5 linked regions of the Cricetulus griseus genome follow. The protein of the gene in region 5 interacts with the protein of the main gene of each other region in a pairwise test. Links are inferred from orthologs where the notes say so. Each region holds a gene or a part of one and is shown on either strand. Other genes may lie near its edges.

What was found.
Region 1: the proteins of Tacc1 (region 5) and Memo1 interact in binary tests that used the Homo sapiens proteins (3 or more experiments, as listed by UniProt). The two-hybrid records come from large-scale screens. The link is inferred for Cricetulus griseus from reciprocal best matches to the Homo sapiens genes TACC1 and MEMO1.
Region 2: the proteins of Tacc1 (region 5) and Lsm7 interact in binary tests that used the Homo sapiens proteins (3 or more experiments, as listed by UniProt). The link is inferred for Cricetulus griseus from reciprocal best matches to the Homo sapiens genes TACC1 and LSM7.
Region 3: the proteins of Tacc1 (region 5) and Ckap5 interact in binary tests that used the Homo sapiens proteins (3 or more experiments, as listed by UniProt). The link is inferred for Cricetulus griseus from reciprocal best matches to the Homo sapiens genes TACC1 and CKAP5.
Region 4: the proteins of Tacc1 (region 5) and Sh2d4a interact in binary tests that used the Homo sapiens proteins (3 or more experiments, as listed by UniProt). The two-hybrid records come from large-scale screens. The link is inferred for Cricetulus griseus from reciprocal best matches to the Homo sapiens genes TACC1 and SH2D4A.

What each region holds. Positions count from the first base shown.
Region 1 is NC_048600.1:9,364,796-9,369,102, forward strand, and holds the start of Memo1 (protein MEMO1), read left to right. Parts: upstream 1-1,503; 5' UTR 1,504-1,643; intron 1,644-1,958; exon of another isoform or gene 1,959-2,245; 5' UTR 2,246-2,262; coding exon 2,263-2,323; intron 2,324-4,307. UniProt on the Homo sapiens protein: May control cell migration by relaying extracellular chemotactic signals to the microtubule cytoskeleton. Mediator of ERBB2 signaling.
Region 2 is NC_048598.1:101,634,292-101,638,305, reverse strand, and holds the start of Lsm7 (U6 snRNA-associated Sm-like protein LSm7), read left to right. Parts: upstream 1-1,211; 5' UTR 1,212-1,275; coding exon 1,276-1,281; intron 1,282-2,141; coding exon 2,142-2,235; intron 2,236-3,108; coding exon 3,109-3,180; intron 3,181-3,771; coding exon 3,772-3,914; 3' UTR 3,915-4,014. Other genes in the region: Sppl2b (signal peptide peptidase-like 2B), read right to left, coding at 1,070-1,120. UniProt on the Homo sapiens protein: Plays a role in pre-mRNA splicing as component of the U4/U6-U5 tri-snRNP complex that is involved in spliceosome assembly, and as component of the precatalytic spliceosome (spliceosome B complex).
Region 3 is NC_048599.1:85,166,940-85,170,451, reverse strand, and holds part of Ckap5 (cytoskeleton-associated protein 5), read left to right. Parts: intron 1-420; coding exon 421-509; intron 510-2,375; coding exon 2,376-2,501; intron 2,502-2,827; coding exon 2,828-2,977; intron 2,978-3,258; coding exon 3,259-3,462; intron 3,463-3,512. UniProt on the Homo sapiens protein: Binds to the plus end of microtubules and regulates microtubule dynamics and microtubule organization. Acts as a processive microtubule polymerase. Promotes cytoplasmic microtubule nucleation and elongation. Plays a major role in organizing spindle poles.
Region 4 is NW_023276806.1:245,081,207-245,084,718, forward strand, and holds part of Sh2d4a (SH2 domain-containing protein 4A), read left to right. Parts: intron 1-1,935; coding exon 1,936-2,047; intron 2,048-3,512. UniProt on the Homo sapiens protein: Inhibits estrogen-induced cell proliferation by competing with PLCG for binding to ESR1, blocking the effect of estrogen on PLCG and repressing estrogen-induced proliferation. May play a role in T-cell development and function.
Region 5 is NW_023276807.1:58,554,751-58,559,018, reverse strand, and holds the start of Tacc1 (transforming acidic coiled-coil-containing protein 1), read right to left. Parts: upstream 2,808-4,268; 5' UTR 2,661-2,807; coding exon 1,900-2,660; intron 1-1,899. UniProt on the Homo sapiens protein: Involved in transcription regulation induced by nuclear receptors, including in T3 thyroid hormone and all-trans retinoic acid pathways. Might promote the nuclear localization of the receptors.

The sequences.
Region 1 (4,307 bases), on a different chromosome or scaffold from region 5:
GTTTAAAGGTGTGCACCACCAGCGCAGAGCCGAGCCAAAGTTAGCATTTAGGGGAGGTGGAAGTGAACAGGTTCAATTGACTTCTTTCAAGAGGATGTGGGTGGTTTCCCAGCAAGTTCAAGGCCAGCCTGGTCTACATACACAGTCCTAGGCCAGACAGGGATATATAGGGAGATCCTGTCTCAAACAGCTGCTGTGGTGACATCTGCCTTCCCACTTATCCCTGCAAAAGCAGGGTCAGGTAAGTTCGAACACAGCCAGGTTTACATTGGGTGTTTCATCTAGGTCAGTCAGAGCTACATAGTGAAATTTGGTCTTAAAAAGGAAACGTCTATACTTGAAAGCATTCTGGAGATCTTTAAAAACAGATTTAATTGTATATTTGTGTGTGGGTATGTGCACGGAATCGTAGGTGCCTGAAGGGGCCAGAAGAGGGCGTCAGATCTGGAGCGGGACTAACATGTTTGGGAGCTGTCCAATGTGGGTGCTGTAACTCGACTCAGGTCCTCTGCAAGAACAGTACATATTTTTAACTTCTGAGCCATTTCTTTAGCCCAACAGCCCGTATTTTATTCATCAGTGTGGTCTTCGCTAAGTTTGGTAAGAGACACAAGTTCTTGGGAGAAACAATTTACCTTCTTTTTTTCTTGTCATTGACATTAACCACAGAGCTTTCTTCATAACAACACTTGAGAACTTGGCAAAAAAAAACAAAAAACAAACAAAAAAAACCAAAACCAAAAACCCCAAGCAAACAAAAAGTATATTGTTATGGCATTAAGGAACACAGCATTTCGGTATTAGACAGCTAGACATCTACTTTGGACGTAGTTTAAAGTGAAACTAAGATATACCCGTTGTGTGACTTCGGCCCCAAATATTTTTCTAGGAGATGCGCCACTGTTACACTTCCTAGTTTTGGAATCCTGCAATTTAAAGCCAAACTCACTTCCTTTGTGACTCTTCCCAACTTGTAAAGGAATTCTTTGCTGCCGATACTTACGTGAGATTTAATGAGGCAAGTGAAGGGTGACATTTGTAGTATGCCTTACCTTGTCCGGCTCCTCGAAAGCATTAGGTACCCCTCTCTCCGGAATGTCACCCCCCCTCCCATTTTACACAGGAAATAACTGAGACGATCTTTGCCACACTGCAGTTACAGCTATGATACAATAAGTTAACATAACTGTGTCAAAGCGACACTATTAGGAGGTAGGGACCAGTCTGGAAAGCGACGGCTACAGCGCCCCTCCTCCATCCCCCCCACTCCACCCGTACGCTTCGCCGCGCTCGAGTTTCTGCAAATGAAACTTGCGGCGCCGCCCCAGACTTGCATTCCTGGGCGACACCCCGAGGTGGGAATCCACCAAGGACGCGGTGGCAGGGGGAACCCCGGCCGGGCAGGGCGAGCCTAGACCTCGTGTGCGCGCTGAGCCGGTGGCGCGCGGGGACAAGCCAGGCGGCTGGGGGGGGGCGGGAGGGAAGGGGCTCTCCCCGCCTCGCGGCTGCGTCCTGCGCCCCGCGCCCTGCCCCCAGCCTCTGCTGGCGCTAAACCCCGGAGAGCGGAGCGTGCACGCTGAGCCTCGGCGGGCCCGGCCGCGGCGCTGGGCATGCTCAGTGGGCAGGACCCGGTAGAGCGGAGAGTAAGGACGCGTGGGCTCCCCGGGTTCAGGCCCCGGCCCCGGGCTGTGGTGGGGGGAGGTGGAGGGGTGAGAGAGTGGCACCGACCGCCGCCACCTCGCCCGCGGCCGCCCGACCCCGGATGGCGCGGGGCCCGTCCCGCTTCCGCCGTTGAGCGCGCCGCACGGCGGGCGGAGGCGCGGGGCGGGGCCGGCGGGCGCGAGGCGGGGGGGGGGGGGAGGCCTGGCGGTGGGGGCGGGGCGGGGCGCCCGGGGCGGGTGGGGAGGGGCGGGCGCGGAGTCACGGGGGTGGGGTCAGCGGGAGGCTCGACAGGCCGCGCGCTGCAGGGCCGGGGGCGGCTCGCGGAAGCAGCCCGGTCAGGGCAGCGGCGGCGACTTGGCGGCCGCGCGGCTCGGGCCAAGCCGCCGTGGGGCCCCATCTGCCGGGCGGCCGGCGGAGTTTGTGGTGATTGTTACTGCCCCCGCCCCGGCTGCCATCTCCTCCTCCTCCTCCTGGGCCGGGCCGGTCCCCTCCCCGCGGCCGCCTCCTCCTCTGGGCCCGCGCGTCTCGTCCCTCGCGGAGCCGCCGCCGCCGCCGCCTCCTCATTCATCCTCGTGCACCATAGGCGGCACAGGCACCAAGATGTCCAACCGAGTGGTCTGCCGGGAAGCCAGCCACGCCGGGAGCTGGTACACCGCCTCAGGTAGGGATCCAGGCCGCCAGGCGGTCGAGCTGAGCAGCCGGGGCCCGGCGGGCGGGGACGCGGGCGGCGGGCGCGGGCGGCGGCGCGACCGCGTGCCGAGGGAGCGGGCCGGGCCGGGCCGTGTCGCCTCCCCCAACCCGGCGCTCGGGCTGGCCGCCTGGCGCCCGCGGAGTTGGCCGAGGAGTTGCCGGCCGGGTCGGGCCGGGGCCGGGCAGGGCCAGGGCGAGCGCGGGCTGCGGGGCTTCGCGGACAGCGGCTGCCGCGGGGAAGGACGAGTCGGTGCGGTCCTCGTGCTAGGGACTGGTCGAAAGCACAGCAGCCTTTGCCCTCATCTTCGAGGCACCTCGCGCCCCTGGAAGGAGTGACAAGCCTTACTTTTGTCCCCCACTTCATGTTGCCACTCTAGGTCTCGCTTGAAAGATCTGTCAGCCGAGGGCCTCTCGGGGATTTGTCGCTTTGTATGTGGAGGCTCTGGCAGAGGTGCTGCCAGGCAGGGGCTATGGGTAGCCTCCTAGCTCTTTTGTCAGTGTTTGCATTGTTACTGTCATCCAGGGGCAGCTGGAGATGGCATCAGCACTTTTCCCCAGCAACCTCTAAAGTACCCAGCGCTCAGCACCGAGTGCTGGACTACCTGTCCAGTTAGCTTACGTTTTGAGAGAATTCTGCCTTCTTGTCTGCACTCTCTTAAAAACCATGTGGAGTTCTTTAGGTAAGAAAGGCTAGGGCCGTTTCCCTTTAGTCCAACTCTCGTGGCAAGGATTGCTTTTTGAGATTTTCAGGGGTCACATTTCTGGTATGGTAACAAAGGAAAAGTTCCTCTGTGATTCCTGTTGGTTTCTAGTCCAGCTTGGCTTATAAACAACTGGCCCTAAACTTCATGTGTTCCTTTGCAAGTACTAGTTTTTTGTTTTTGTTTTTGTTTTTTGTTTTTTTTTTTTTTAGAAAACAGAAAATGTGGAAGGCAGTTAGTGTGTTTTCTGAGATTGTTCCACCAGCTCTTGAAAATACATGTACCTTACAGGCTCACAGTGGATTCGCCCTACTAAGACACAAAGGAATTATGGTTGGGTTTTGGATCTACTGCTAACAGGTAGCTGTAGTTTCTTGCCTTAGATAAGTATGCCTTTTTTTTTTTTTTTTTGCCTAAAGTGTTGTTCCCTTTGTGGTCCTGAAGTACTTCATAGACTTTTAATCAGTTCTCACAACCTGAAAATGTCAGTTAAGTTATTCTTGTGTCAGTATATGGGGAAACAAAATTTTAGTGCCGCACCCAAGACTAGGCCAGAGGTGAAATAGGAATCGAACAAGCCTGAATTTTCCCTTTCTAAATCAATGCACTATTAATATTATTCATTGCTAAATAGCAGGCTTGTAAATAAGTGTGCCGCCCCCCCCCCCCAGTACGTTTTGGAGAATTACAGTCACACTTTTTTTTCATATCATGGTTGTCTTTTGGCATTTATTTATTGTGGTATTTCTATACTTTTTGTTTTGTTTTTTCTGTGTAGCTCTAGTTGAGCTCTGTAGATCAGGCTGGCCTCAAACTCATAGAGATCTACCTGCCTCTGCCTCTCCACCTCTGGGATCAAAGGACAAAGGCCAGTGCTACCACTGCCCAGTTTACATTTGTTACAAATGTTTTAAACTTTCGTTGTAGTTTACATTGAAATGTGTGCAAATGTCCTGGAGAGAATCTTTTAGATTGTTAAATATTTATACAGGTAGTAAAGTTGGACACAATTGACACTTTTGGTTTTAGAATTCCTTAGAGTTCAAACACAAGTTGTAGCCTTTAATTTGGTTCAAAAAAATCTTGACTATAGATACTTATTAGTAGTAATTATATTCTTCTCTAAAATCTGAGTGAACTACCTTACTGGAATTCAGACGTATGACTTTTTGGGGTGTGTGAGACTTTTTCTTTTTTTTTGGTTTTTCGAGACAGGGTTTCTCTGTATTGCTTTGGAACCTATCCTGGAACTTA
Region 2 (4,014 bases), on a different chromosome or scaffold from region 5:
GGTAAAAATGAGGCAGAGAGAGCTGAGGACTGCTGGCAGGGTGGGGAGCCCTGACACACTTTCAAAAGCTCATGCCCAGCCAAGAGCGGGATGTGGGGACAAAAACGTCAAAGGGGGATGTGGGCCACATGGTGGAGAGGCTAGGAACGCCACGCCTGGGTAATGTCTTAACTTCTTAGCCAATCAAGGAAGAGCATGCCAGTTGTGCCAGTGTTGGGAAGGCTGAGGCTCAGTTACAAGTTCAATGCTAGCCTGGGCTATAAAAGGAGATCCTGTCTCAAGATTTTGTAATCTTGAAAAAAAAAAAAAAGTATTTGAAAGAACGATCCAGACCCAGGGTCCATGAGAGAAGATGAATATATAGAATAACGTGCACAGGCCACCCTGTGGGCCATCCGCATTAGAACCCAGCAACTGCCCCGTGTGCCCGAGGCTGCAGCCCTTCACGAACCATTGGGACTGGAGCCTGATGCCACAGAAACAAACAAGAAATCTAACAACTAAGCCAAGTGTTGTGACGCAGGCCTGGCATCCCAGCACTTGGGAGACTAACAGGGTGTTCAGGGCCAGCCTGGGCAACATGGCAAAGTCAAGAGACCATCCTGGGCTGCAGCGCTTGTGGGAGGCCAGCGCGCATTACAGAATGAGTTCAAGGCCAGCATGCGACTGTGTCTCAGCAAGCGACGCTCACCAAACGTCCTGCCTCGGCACCGGGTCGGGGCGCATCCCGCGGCACCCGGAGGCCCCCACGGGTCCCCCGCGTGTTGCATTGACTGACCCAGAGGTGAGGAACCCCTCCTGCCCAAGGTCACGGAGCAGAAGCCGGGATGCAGGGCTGCAGGCACCCGGGGACCCTCCCGAGCCCCTGGGGGAGGAGGACGGGGACTCGCCCCATTCTGCAGAAGAGGAAACTGAGGCTGGCAGGGGCGGCGGCGGCAGTTGGGGCCCCGGGGCGCAGGGCGGGCTAAGCCCGGCCCGAAGTCTGCGGTGGCGACAGCGAGGGGACGACAGCAAGGTCTCGGCCACGGTCACGAGTGGTGCAGCCGAGCCGACCAGCCGTGGCGCTCACCTGGGCCGCGAGCAGCAGCAGCAGGGCCGCGGCGAGCCGCGCCGCCGCCATGTCCGCCTGTCCTGCCGCAGCTCTAGGCGGAAGGTTTCCCGGCAACGCCTTCGGGACCCCGAGACGCGCACGCGCCGGCCCTGCGCGTGCGCGGGCCCGCCCCTCGCTAGAAGTGGGCGGTGCGGAGCCTGCGCAGAGCAGCGCAGGTCGGCAAGATGGCGGTGAGCATTGCTGGGTCGCGGAGAGAGCGGGGTTCCCCCCGAGGGACTGTAGACGCGAAAACTGGGGGCACAGGAGGACCAAAGAGAGGGGGGCGGACACCCGAAGACGGATAGGGAGACAGGGACGCGGAGGAATAGGAATCACGTGGGACTGCACACCGGGCGTCTTGAGGAAGCAGACCGGGAACCTGGGGAAGCAGACCCGGAACCTGGGGAAGCAGACCCGGAACCTGGGGAAGCAGACCCGGAACCTGGGGAAGCAGGCGGGGAACCTGGGGGTGCAGACCCGGAACCTGGGGGTGCAGACCGAGGAACCTGGGGGTGCAGACCGGGGAACCTGGGGGTGCAGACCGGGAACCTGGGGGTGCAGACCGGGGAACCTGGGGGTGCAGACCGGGGAACCTGGAGGGTGCAGACCGGGGAACCTGGGGGTGCAGACCGGGGAACCTGGGGGTGCAGACCGGGGAACCTGGGGGTGCAGACCGGGGAACCTGGGGGTGCAGACCGGGGAACCTGGGGGTGCAGACCGGGGAACCTGGGGGTGCAGACCGGAGGGGGAACCTGGGGGTGCAGACCGGGAACCTGGGGGTGCAGACCCCTGGGGGTGCAACCTGGGGGTGCAGACCGGGAACCTGGGGGTGCAGGCAGGGGACATGAGGATATACACAGGGGGCATGGGAATAGAGAGAGATGCAGACTCAGCGACCTGGAATTTAGTTGGGGGAACATGGGAGATGGAAATGAGTTTGCAGACAGTTATGAGGGCTGCAGGATGGTCAAAAGGAGTCGCTGGGTGCCGGGTCCAGGCAACAAGGATATGGGAAGACTGGGTCTCACTCCTCAGCTCCTCCACTCTCCAGCAGGACAAAGAGAAAAAGAAGAAAGAAAGCATCTTGGACCTATCTAAGTACATTGACAAGACCATCCGAGTGAAGTTCCAGGGTGGCCGGGAAGGTGAGTGGATGCAACAGGGCCCCTAAGAATCGGGGTTGCGACAAGCAAGGGAAAGCCTCACAAGGCAGGCATTTTAACTCTTAACAAAGGCTAAGCTTGGGCCATCCTGTTACTTGAGAGGTACCAGTATGTCTCAATTGTGGATGGGGAAAATGAGTCCCAGGGAAAGAAAGCCAGGTGCGGTAGCACCCACACCATTATTGCTGGAGCCTGAAGGAAGAGGCCAGAAAGCTGGGAGGACATAGAAGAAGGAGGCAACAGGGGGATGGAAGGAAGGCATCCCTTCAAGAGCCTGGAGGTAGCAGGGACCCAGGAGGTTTCCAGTAGCAGGATCAGGGAAAGTTCCAGCCAGTCTGAGCTATGTGGCAAGACCTGTCTCCAAAAATCAACCAGGGCTAGGCTATAGCTTGGTGGATAGAGGGTTGGTTTAGTGTGCATAAAGCCCTGGATTTTATCTCCAACACCATGGAAACCAGGTGTGGTTGTACAAGCCTGCTATTCCAACCCTAGGAAGGTAAACACAGAATCGGGAAGTTCAAGATTATTTTCAGGTTGCCTAGTGAGTCTGAGGCCAGCCTGGGCAAATGATACTCTCTCATACAAATGGGAGGGGAAAAAAGGCTATTTTGTGTTACATGGAAACTATACAGAATTCAGTTTGGGGGATGATAACATTTTATTGACACTTGGTCCACCATGAACTCACTATCTATGGCCCCTTCCACACTTGTAGGAAGAGAGTTGGGGGTCATAGTCAGCAGGCCACCACATAGGGACATGTCTCCCCATGAGTTCTGTAGTGATAACTGTCCCCATGCCTGGGTCTGTAGTGGGAGGACAATAACATCATCCTTACCCATCTCTCCCTTCAAGCCAGCGGGATCCTGAAAGGGTTTGACCCACTGCTCAACCTGGTGCTGGATGGAACCATTGAGTACATGAGAGGTGAGCTGGCTGTGGTTGTCCAGGGATGCCACCAGGCCCTGTTTCTTCTCCACACCTGTGCAGTCACATTGCCGCAGGTGGTGCTGACCTAGGGTGCAGGTCCCTCCCTGATCACCAGAAAGGTGACAGGCCCACCATGATGGCCCCAGGCTTGAGATTTCAGCTCCTTCCCCTCAGCCCTCCTGGGGATGGCAGAAATAGTAGCTACTGTCCTCTGTCTGGATTGTTTGCCTGTGTCACCAGCTCCAGGACGCATAGGATCTCAGCTTATTCCAGAATAGTACCTGTAATGCCCAAAGAGTGTCCCTTCCTCTGCACCCACAACAATTACTTTCTAATTGCTCCCTGTCTCCACCTCTGGTCCATCCTCCCCGGGGCCTCTGCTTCCCCTGCAGACCACTCCTTGGGGTGAGTATCTGCCCTGGGTTCTTGTAGTATCCATGCCTACAGTCGGCTCTGAGACCCCAGGGCCTGGGTGTGTCAGTCCCCAAAAGAAAGATGGGACAGCCCTCTGAGGTCCTGGTTGTGGAGTGCTGGGTGGAAAGGACATGTCTTCAGTTCCTCTTGCCTGTCACCCCCTATTCCCACCAGACCCTGATGACCAGTACAAGCTGACAGAAGACACACGGCAGCTGGGGCTTGTGGTGTGCCGAGGCACCTCAGTGGTGCTCATCTGCCCACAGGATGGCATGGAGGCTATCCCCAACCCCTTCGTGCAGCAGCAGGATGCCTAGGTGGAGAGCGATCTGGCCCCAAGGACCTTCCTTCCTGTGTGAACTTTGTTTGGTGTTTTACTTTTGGATTTTGTTTCTGGTTTTTTATTTTGTTTTTTAA
Region 3 (3,512 bases), on a different chromosome or scaffold from region 5:
GATCTGTTTGCCTCTGCCTCCCCAGTGCTGGGATAAAAGGCGTGCACCACCAACGCTGGGCTTGCTTTTGTTTTTAATTAGCTTACAAAATTGCAAGTTCCCTCCTCCCTCCCACAATATCCTTTGTTTTGATCTTCTTACTCCCTCCTCTCACTATGTAAGTCATCATATCCTCAAACTTGCAGCAATCTCCCTGGCTCTACCTCCCAAATACTGGAATAACAGGCATTTGCCACTACGCCCAACTTCTAAAGAGAAACTTGAAGAGAAAAAAAGGACTAGGAAAAAAAAATCTTTAAATGCCTTATATATATTGATACATATAAGGCTACAGAGTTGTTTTTAATCATTGTGTGTTTAATGTATCTAGGATAACTGATAGGAGTTTAACATAGTATATGCTTTTTTTCCCCCTCAAAGCACCTGTTGAAGATTCTGTTTCCAGCACCACAGAAGCTAAGCCTGATCTGAAGAAGGCTAAAGCTCCAGGAGTTTCCTCCAAAGCAAAGGTGTGTTAACTCTGCACACTTAGATAGTTCTTTTGTCTTAATTTTGTACACTTAGTCAGTCCATTAGGAAAGGTCATTGTATGTATGAAAGAACATTCCTGCTCTTGATAATATGAAATTAATCATTTATAGAAGTTTCTGTGTCTCTGATTGGTTTCATTTTTTTGCTCTACTTGAGATAAAACTTAGGACTTGTAGCTAGAGAAACCCTGTACTTGGTCCTGTGGCCATGGTTTTTTATTAATCAGATCCCAAAACAGTCATTCTGTTTCCACAAGATGTTGTCATGGAGATCTCTGAATATTTGCACTAATGAAAAAGAGTGTGACATTGTAACACACACGTTTAATCATAATACTAGGGTGGCAGAGGTAGTTAGATCTCTATGAGTATGAGGCTAGCCTGGTCTACATGGCAAGATCGTGTCTCAGATACAAAGGAGAAAAAGCATATGCTCTGTCAACCCTGGGAATAATCCTTAGGTTGGTCTGTATTTGAAAATAATCACCTTTCTTCATACCCAGCTTAAATGATTTATTTGTATTATTTTATGTGCATTTGTGTTTTGCTTACATGTATGTCTTTTTGAGTATGTCAGATCCCCTGGAACTGGAGTTACAGATAGTTATGAACTGACACTTGGGTGCTGGGAATTGAACCTGGATTATCTGGAAGAGTATTTAATGCTCTTAACTGCTGAGCCATCTTTCCAGCCCCAGAGTCTGCTGAATTTTTTTTAAAAGCTTACAAAGCACTTTTACATAAATGATTTTTTTTTAGCAAAAAGGTATTTAAAATGAAATTCTGGGAAACTAGAAAAATTAACTTTTGCTACATTTATAATAATTTCAATAATAAGATTCAGATTTTACATTAAGCATATGCACTATTCACCATTTTTCTTCCATTTGATAAAAATATTTTAGTCCTATTATATTTGAAAATTAAGTATTTAAAATATATACAGTGCTGGGTGTTGGTGATGCACATCTTTAATCCCAGCACTCGGGAGGCATAGGCAAGTGGATCTCTGTGAGTTTGAGGCCAGCCTTGTCTACAGAGCAAGTTCCAGGACAACCTTTAAAGCAATACAGAGAAACCCTGTCTCCTCGAAAATCCAAATAAATAAATAAAATATATACAGCAATTTTGTTTAGAAAACGATTTAGTACTTTAGTTACAGCACTGTAGTAGAGCTACACTAAAGAAAGATACATAGAGAAAAATAGAACTTTCTCAACTAAGTGATATGAGCTGTACAAGTGCTATTCATTCAAATGACATTAGTATGAAATATATAAATATATAAATAGCCTTGAAGAGACAGGAGGTGGTGGTACATGCCTTTAAGCCCAGCACTCAGAAGGCTGAGACAGGCAGATCCCTGAGTTTGAGACCAGCCTAGTCTACAGAGCTAGGGTTATACAGAGAAACCCTCTCTTGAAAAACCAAAACAAAGATCTAAAGGTATTGAAGATTTCAAGGAAGAAAACTAAAAATTGTCTGAGACCCAGACTAATTGGAGTTAATAGCAATTTTTCCAAATATATATATAAGTATCATTCTAACTCAATAACTAACAAAGACTCACATAATTTACAACATTTATAGTATACATATGTATTCAGAGTCTAGAGCTGAGGTGGGAGGATTGCAGGTTAAAGACTAGCCTGGTCTACATGGTAGGACTTTGTCTCATTCAAAAGCATATTACGTGAAAGATTCATGACTCATCATTTTCTTTCATGTTGGAATATATTGTAGAGTGAGTTTTCTGGCTCCTGTAATGTTCTCTCCTGTAATGCAACAGCATATGTTCATCAGAAGTGGTCTACCTAATCGATATTCCCTTAACTCTGGTTGTAGAGTGCACAAGGGAAGAAAGTGCCAAGCAAAGCCACCTTAAAGGAAGATGATGACAAATCTGGCCCTATTTTTATTGTTGTTCCAAATGGAAAGGAGCAAAGGATGAGAGATGAGAAAGGATTAAAGGTAAGGAAGTAATAAGAATCTTTGGGAATTTTTGCTTGTTTTTATCTTGTTAATCAAGGACTTAGCCTGCTAAGACAGGAAAATTACTGTGAATCCATGGCCAGCCTGCTCTCTGTATTCAGTGCCAGGTCAGTCACTACTAAATGGCAAGACCCTGTCTCAAAAAAAAAAAAAAAAAGGATGAAAGAAAGAAAGAAGAAAAACAAAAACAGGCTAAAGAGCAAAAAAGCATCAAATTAGTTGGGTCCTTCAGCTAGCTGTGCCAGGTGACTATCTCAACTTTGTATCAGTTGAACTATTCACTGCCTTCCTGTTTTTCCCCTCAGGTGCTAAAGTGGAATTTTACTACTCCACGTGATGAATACATTGAACAGCTGAAGACTCAAATGTCTAGCTGTGTGGCTAAGTGGTTACAAGATGAAATGTTTCACTCAGACTTCCAGCATCATAATAAAGCCCTGGCTGTCATGGTTGATGTAAGTCTTCAAATAGATAAATATCTATATGTCTTGGGAATATGGAAATATGGAGTACTGTGAAATGGTCAAGTTTGAAAACCTTGAGGAAGGATGTACAGTGTTTTCTGTAGAGCTGTCTCATTTGATAAAATAAATGATGTTGTATTTGGGGGGTCCTATTAAAGCTCTAAAAATCTTAGATTTTCTTTGGGGCACCAGAACAATTTAAGAAATATGGCTCTAATAGAATTTAAATTTGCATACAAAATTAACTGTGGGGTTTTTATTTTTATCTTAAGCACTTGGAGAGTGAAAAAGAAGGTGTCATTGGTTGCCTGGATCTTATCTTAAAATGGCTTACCCTCCGGTTTTTCGACACCAATACAAGCGTTCTAATGAAAGCACTGGAATATTTAAAATTGCTCTTTACTCTGCTGAGTGAGGAAGAATATCATCTCACTGAGAACGAAGCATCTTCCTTTATCCCCTATCTCATCCTCAAGGTAATGTGTTCTTACCCTGGAGACTTCTTGAGTTCTGAGCTAACTTTAGT
Region 4 (3,512 bases), on a different chromosome or scaffold from region 5:
CTCACTCCTGCACAGATGAAGCCTCACATAGGAACACACAAGTAGACAGAGACAGGGACAAAGAGACAGAGAGACTAAATAAATACATATGTATGTACTACTGTGTATCTGATTCCTCTACTAAGACATTCCATCCAGGAGGCAGGAGAAAGGGAGGGAAGCAAGATGGAGCAGTAACAAGAAGTGACAAGCACTCCCTGCTGCCTGCTCCAAAGTTAGATAAGCAGTAAATAATTGGTAGGTTGGAGGAGGCTTTTTAATGAATCTGCCTACAAGTTGGGCCAACAATTCCAGGGACCTAACTTTGATGAGTGGTTGACTTGGTGGGGTGGGCTTGGTGACTCATTTGCCTTTCAGTTGTCTGGGTTCCTGTCAGTGTCCCTAGAATCCTCATTGTTGCCTCAGTCTTGACATGGGGAGAATGTTTCTTTCATAACTAGTTTGTTCACATCTGCCCAGCAAGAGTTGTAGCAAATGACCAAAAATGAACAGAGTTCCTCTTTTAAGGGTTTGTGTTTTTTCCTTCTGTCCAAGTTTGAACATCTTGAGCTGTACTTCTATGTTCTTCAGGCTCATAACCAGCTTCAGTAATAGATGGCAAATTTTAGTAATCTCAAGAACCAAAAGCTGTTCCTTGGATTTTATAAAACACTGTGACACCAACAATGAGAGCTTGACTCTAGGCAGGAAAACAGTGTAAGAAAAAAATCAAAGTAGACGGTGTGTTCAAATACAGTTGAGCACAGATTCAGAGTATGACTGCCTTAACAGTGGTCGATAGCTTCCTACAGTGATCCAAACCAAGATTTGATTTCAAAAATGGTACAATGCTTTTATGGCAAGGAAATCTTTATGTACGTTGGGATGGGATGGTATATGATGTATCTACCTGGGAAAGGATGCACTTGCCAATATATGAGCATATAGAGGCCCCAGGAAGGCACTAGATGTCTTCCTCTATGACTTCATATATGTTTTGAGACGTGATCTCTCACTTAACCTAGAACATGCTGTTTGCCCTAGTATCCACCTGTGTCTACCCTGCCATCACTGAAGTTACAGGCACATACCCCAAGGCCCAGCTACTACGTGGGCACCAGGGATTCAGACTCAGGTTCTCAAGCTTATACAGCAAGTACTTTACGCACTGGTTGCATCTTTGTAGTTGGAAAGTCATCATTGTCACTTTTGTGGTCCTCTGTGTCACTTTTGTGGTCCTCTGTCTCCTCCTCCTGTGGCACGGGGGATTCAGCTTAGAGCTTTGCACATGGTAGGCAAGCCAGGATAGAGCTTTCACAAAGCTGGTCTGTGGACAACCTGTGTCCATGACCCTCTTAATTTTGAGACACAATCTTACAAAATTGTGCTGAACTTGAACTCACTCTGTGGTGTATTTCACTTTTTCAAAGGTGATACTTTTTGTGTGTTTGAAGGGCAAAAAAGCACCTCATTCCTTTTTTGAGCACCCCAAATCACATATCACATTCTCCTATTTGTTGGAGAACATTTAAACCCCACCCAGTTAAGATTGCTCTTGGGAGCCTGTTAGCTACCGCAGGTCAGTGTCTACGCTGGCCCCATGACTCCGCATATTTACATCAGAGAAATATATTTGGAATAGCTAAGTGCCGGTCTGGGGAAGGGTTGCTTAGATAGATCTTATGTGCTGTGCATTGTGCCAGGCACTCTTAAAGCATGGATGCTCACAGGAACTCTATGTGACGTTCTTTCTCACTTCTAGGAAAACAGCCTGCAGGAACAGAGTCTAGAGTCCCACACAGAGGTATCCAGAGCTCTTGCTTCAGGCATTGCTGACACCAAGTAGCTCCCTAGTGGGCCAGAGACAGTTAAATGGACCCAGAGTGCCTTATGCCCTCTTAAAGAAACTGTCACATTTGTTCACCACTTCCCATATCTATTTTTGTTTTCAAACAGACTAAAGAACCCATAAAGAAAAAAGAAGACGAAGACGTGAAACAAACAGAGGATGAGAAAACCAAGCAGATATACAAGAGCTGGAAGGAGGATTCCGAATGGCAGGCATCGTGTGAGTACCCCGGGGCCTCAGAGGCACCTCCAGGCTCGAGACTGGACCTTCCACTTGAGTGATTCATCAGGAGGCACAGAGAGTGCATCCTTGAGAAGTACCTTCCCATTGAGTTGTCACTCAAATGGTATCAGGAAGTGGTATCTCCTCAGGTGCCTGAGTAGCAGAATGGCTTTGCATTCATCTTTATACTGTTAAATTATGTTTCTGTATGGTGGAATTGTATATAGCTATGAAAAAATCCCACAGAAGAATATTCAATGACATTAAAATATGTCCCTTTCTTGGAGAAGAAAACATTATAAATAGTATAAAATATAATTATTTAAAAATTCTAAATTATTATTACTATTATGTTCTTCTTCTGTTTATTCACTCTGCCTGCCAGCCCTGCCTATCCCTTCTCTTGCCTGCCTTGTTATTGGCTGTTCAACTCTTTATTAGACCCATCAGGTGTTTGAGGCAGACAAAGTAACACAGCTTCACAGAGTTAAATAAATACAATATGAAAGAATGCAGCATATCTTAGCATCTTTAAACAAATATTCCATAACATAAACGAATGTTAACATATTTTAAAATAATATTCTACTTTGTAATACAAAGCATGCAGAATTGACAGATGGGATATATTTGCATCACTCTCACGATTCTATGCCTCTGACCCAACATTGACTCTCTTTTGAGCTTGTACTGCCAGGGCCAAACCAGGAAGACAGGACAGGCAGAGGATGGGCAACCCAGGCTGAAGAATGGCTGAGAGTCTTCACTTGGCACCAACAGAGAAGACTTGATTGTCACTTGAGACAGGGAGACAGGAAGAACCTAAACAGCAAGATTTTCAGGATGCTAAGGTCCTGAATTGGTCTGCAGTTCCATTACAATCCATTATGCTAAAAGTTTTGTGAAACAAAAATTATTTGCAAGATCCAATCTGTGACCTTCTTGTGCTAAGCACTGAAACTCTCGTATGATAAATAGTTTTTAGTGTCTTCAGTGTCAAATATGACAATATCTAAACCACAATGCCTGAATTATTTTTTAAAAAAAAACCTCAATGAAAATGGTTATTGAAAAAAAAAACAAAACAAGACACCCCCCCCCCCCGTGAAACTTCGAAGTCAGGGATAGTAATGCATGCCTTTAACCCCAGCACTTAGAAGGCAGAGGTAAGCAGATCTCTGTGGGTTCAAGGCCAGTACTGGGATAACCAAGGCCACACAGAGAAACCATGTCTCCAACCTCCCTGCTCCCAAAGTAAATAGTTACTACATCCTGCATTAATCTTTAACGCTACACTGCTAAAAGATGACAACCCCATCTATTTTAGAAAGTAATTAATGTTAAAGGGCATATTGTGAAGTGTTTGTACATTTACTAAGGTGTTCTGAAATTCTCCACAGCATGTTTATGGCTTAAAAAAAAAATCCTTTACTTCTGGTCTCTTTGGCCAACTCATATTCAG
Region 5 (4,268 bases):
GATCAAAAGTTAGAGGCTAGCCTGAATGTTACAAAGTGAGACTCTGCTTCAAAGTGTAGAACGACTCCACATCATTTATATTATTTGCTCTGCAAAATCCTAACCATATTACATTGTCTCTATTTAATTACATCTTTTCGAACGTTCCCAAAAACTGTTCACTGTGTATGTTAACCCCACGATGCTTCAGTCTTTTCAAAGTGAAGGGACTCTGCTCTCCAAGTCTAACACAGCACAAGAGCAAGCACTCTTTTCTTACAAGAAAAGAATGTTGACTGGGTACAAGTCTTTTCATTAAGTCTGTGTGATCTATTAAAGCAATACATTTATTCCACAAAAAAAAAAAAAAAAAGGAACAGTAGAAAAGACCACCAGACCACCAGGTGAAGATGGCAGGGCTCAAAAGTGGGCACTTCCTGGTTCTAAACACAAGAGACAGAGTTAGTGTCTCCTTCCTGGGCCCAGATCTCATCTTAGGGAAATGCATTCACTTCACTCTTCCACCTGCAGCTGGAAAGAAGGCACTGAAGGACCAACGCTTTGGCAGGCATCAACACACCCAGGATGTACCCCAAGTGCTGTCCAGACATAGCTACCTAACCACAAAGGTCAAGAGAGGTCTGCACAAACAATCGGTAATAGTTTTTAAAGCCACCTGATTGCACCTATGTAATCTGAAAGCAGACTTAGAACCACTCCTGTCAATTTATTCCCCTTAAACATACCACCAATACTGGGGAGAACTGATCGCTGTGTGGCTTAACTTTCTTGGTCTTGAAATTAGCATTTCTACTCTTTAACCCTCGGGATATTTTTCTTTCCAATGTAGTTCACAATCAGGTGTTTTTAAGACATAGTAATGTTGAAGAGTATTTCCTGGGACTGGAGAGATGGCTTAGCACTGGCTGCTTTTCCAGAGGACGCTTGTTCAATTCCCAGCACCCACATGGCAGTTCACAGCTGTCTGTAAGTCCAGCTCTAGAGGACCTGATGCCCTCATCTGCCTTCTGAAAGTACCAGGCATGAAAGTTGTAATATAGACATACATACATATATTCAGGCAAAATACCCAAATTTCCCTAGCCGAACTAACAACAACCACACACACACTTCCTTTTCAGCATTTTATTCTCCAAGTCACTGGCCCCTGCATCTAATTTTTCACAAGGTGTCATAGGGTTTTAAATGGTTATACTATCTTTTATTCAACTCGAGTTTCCTGATCATGTAATCTTGTATCAAAATTAAAAACCTGATGTGGAATATGGCCTGAGAGATTACTCTGAGAACTCACAAACTAAATAAAGGTTCATTCCTGTCTCCCAGGAGAAAGTAGGAGGTAGAAGGAACATACAACAAATTTACCCAAATTCAACTGGTTATTTAGAACACTCTCATCACAGAAAGTCACTAATAAACTACAAACACACAAGGAAGCAAGAATTCTCATCATTACCACCAATAAAAATCACAACTTTCCGTTCTGTAAGATTGTTCTGCGTCATTTCTGACATTGCTGACCTTAGACAGATAATTTTGGAATGTAAAGATGGTGGCTAACACTGACACTTGAATTCTATGTATAATGTAATTCCTGGAAACCTCAAATATTTACTTGATTTCTTTTAAACAATTTTTTAAAAAAGTATCCAGGATGTGTGTGTGTTGGGGGGGTGACCTAAACAAGTCAAGGACCCAGAGATAAGGCAGAAATCAACAGGAAAACTTCTGATGCTTCCAAACACACAGAAGAGTTAGGCAAAGGGGCAAAGACTACAGAGTAAAGTGTCCCCACTGTACCACAAACATTTATGAGTGCAATTCACAGAAACCAGAAGTAGCTGCCAAACTCCCAAAGAACACACCAGAGCACCACGCCCAGCACCCACTGTCACTCACGTTATTAAACGCGACTTTGCCTTCTTGGGTGACTCTAAGATTTCATTAACATGATTACCAGTGGTGGAACAAAAGCTGCTGCTTGTCAGAGCTGTGGTTGGCTTAAAGGGGTCCATAGACTCATCGAAGTTATCTGGGTCAAAGTGGTAGGAGCCTTTGGAGGAGAGGGGTGGGGAGCTCTGCAGAATGGGGCAGTTCCCAGAGGAATTAAAGTTGGGGTGATCCCATCTACTAGGATCTAGCTTAGGAGATGTTTGGGAGAGTGAGGCATCTTGGACTCTTGGGTCTGCAGGCTGTTCGACATCTACTGGCTGACTGATGCCATCTTTCCGTATGTTCGGCATCAGTTTGTTAGTAGGTTTCCTTGGAAGGTCATTCTTGGCCTCGACATGTTCCCCATCTTCTGTAAAATCATACTCAAGTTTGACAGACGAGTTCCTGGACTCCTCCTGCAGCTCACACCCTGAGCCACTAGTGCCATTACTGAGAGCTTCTGCAGCTTCTTTCAGGTTAAGGGAAGATTTCTGGGCCCTGGTACCTCTCAGCACGCTAGGATATGTGTTCTTAGCCACTTCATCAGGAACTGACAGGGAGGAAGCCTTAGGGAAAGGCAAACCTTCCATGATCATTTCAGTTTCAGAGGCATCGCCTCCAGCTGTCTTCTTCCTCAGGGAGACAGGCTTGGGTTTTCTTAGCTTGCTTCTGCTGGCTTCTCTGGTCTTCAGACCAGCCTCTGTAAAGGCCTCAAATGTAACCGCCATGCCTCCTTCTGTCACTGGCTTGTCCTGAGTAGCTTCTGATGCAGCAGAGGGCAAAGCCTTGCCTGAGAGTGCAGGTTCACAGCCATGAGCTGCTTTTGTTCCAAGAGCAGCTGGGTCATCTGTAGAACTCCTGGTTTCTATTGAAAATGGCCTCACTACTAAGATCTTACTAACATCATGTTGGGTTTCTCCTCTGACATCCTTGACTGAATGAGAATCAGTAGTCGCCTGTGATGCTTCATTTTCTGAAAATCTAGAACATGTATCAGATGAACATTTTTCAATCACTTCTGCTACAAACTGTTCATCAGCTTCTTGTGATTCTAGAAAAAAAAAGGAAGAAAACTCTATTAAAGAATTCTATCACTTGTAAAGAGTCTGCACTGTGTGACTTTATCAACAAGCAGCAAGTCCTTCCTTCCCTCTACCCTTAGCTCAGCAGTTTTAACTTTAAAAAGACTATAACAAGCTCTACACACTAGCCAGGCGGTGGTGGTACATGCCTTTAATACCAGCACCGGAGAGGCAGACACAGGTGATCTCTGAGTTCTAGGTCAGCCTGGTCTACAGAGTGAGTTCCAGGACAGGTTCCAAAGCTACAGAGAAACCCAGTCTCAAAAACAAACAAACAAACAAAAAGCTCTACACCCTAAGATGAATTTTACTTGGCTAAGAAACTGCTATGCTAGTAACACAGTACTGAGCAAATGTAAATCAGAGTTCTACTGTACGTGTACCGTGTGATGCTAAGGTCCTGTAGGTTCACGCTCTCTGGAGAACCTAACACACAGCAGCTTAGCTGGAAGGCTGCTGAGAAGAGCCAAGCTGCTTCCCAGGCCAGAATGCTTCAGCTAGCAAAACTGAATCTAGTTAGTCCTAGTTTTCCCTGTTCCACAGGCTAAAACTGAATGAACTACTACAAAAATTAATAAATAAATCCTACCATGGCCAGATCATGGTCTACTTTTCTATAGACACAATAACCAGAAAAAGCCTGTAAAAAGGGGAAACTGCAAAAGCAAATATAGATGAGGCTTCAAAAGTAGGGAGTAGCAGTGTGAGCCTATAACCCAAGTACTCAGGAGGCAGAGGCCAGGGGTTATGAGTTGGAGGCCAGCCTGGGCTGCACAGAGAGATTCTGTCTCAAAAAACAGATACAGAGATGGCTGTAAAAACAAATATCCCTTATTTGACTAAAACATAAACCACTAAGAAATGTCATCTTTTTTCTTTATAACATTTATCTCTAGGCTAGGGAGATAATCCCCTCAATCACTTGTAAACAAAATAATTTCTCAATTTCGGTTTTACAAGAAAATATGCAAATGGAGAATTTCAAACACAAATTTCGACCTCAAACAACAATTTATCAACAGAAACTAAGTGTGCTGTCTTTCCTCTCACTCGAAGATTTCCTGTTGCTACTTCCTGATCCTAAACCAGGACCCAGAAGCAGATCACCACCATCTCACAGCACTCACACATCTTGTGTGCACCCACTGTGTGTGTTGCTCTGGGCTGGCCCAGAACTCATTCCATAGCCTAGGCCAGCTCCACCTGGCACTGGTCCTTCCACCTTAGCCTCCCCAGCGCCAGGATCACAGGTGC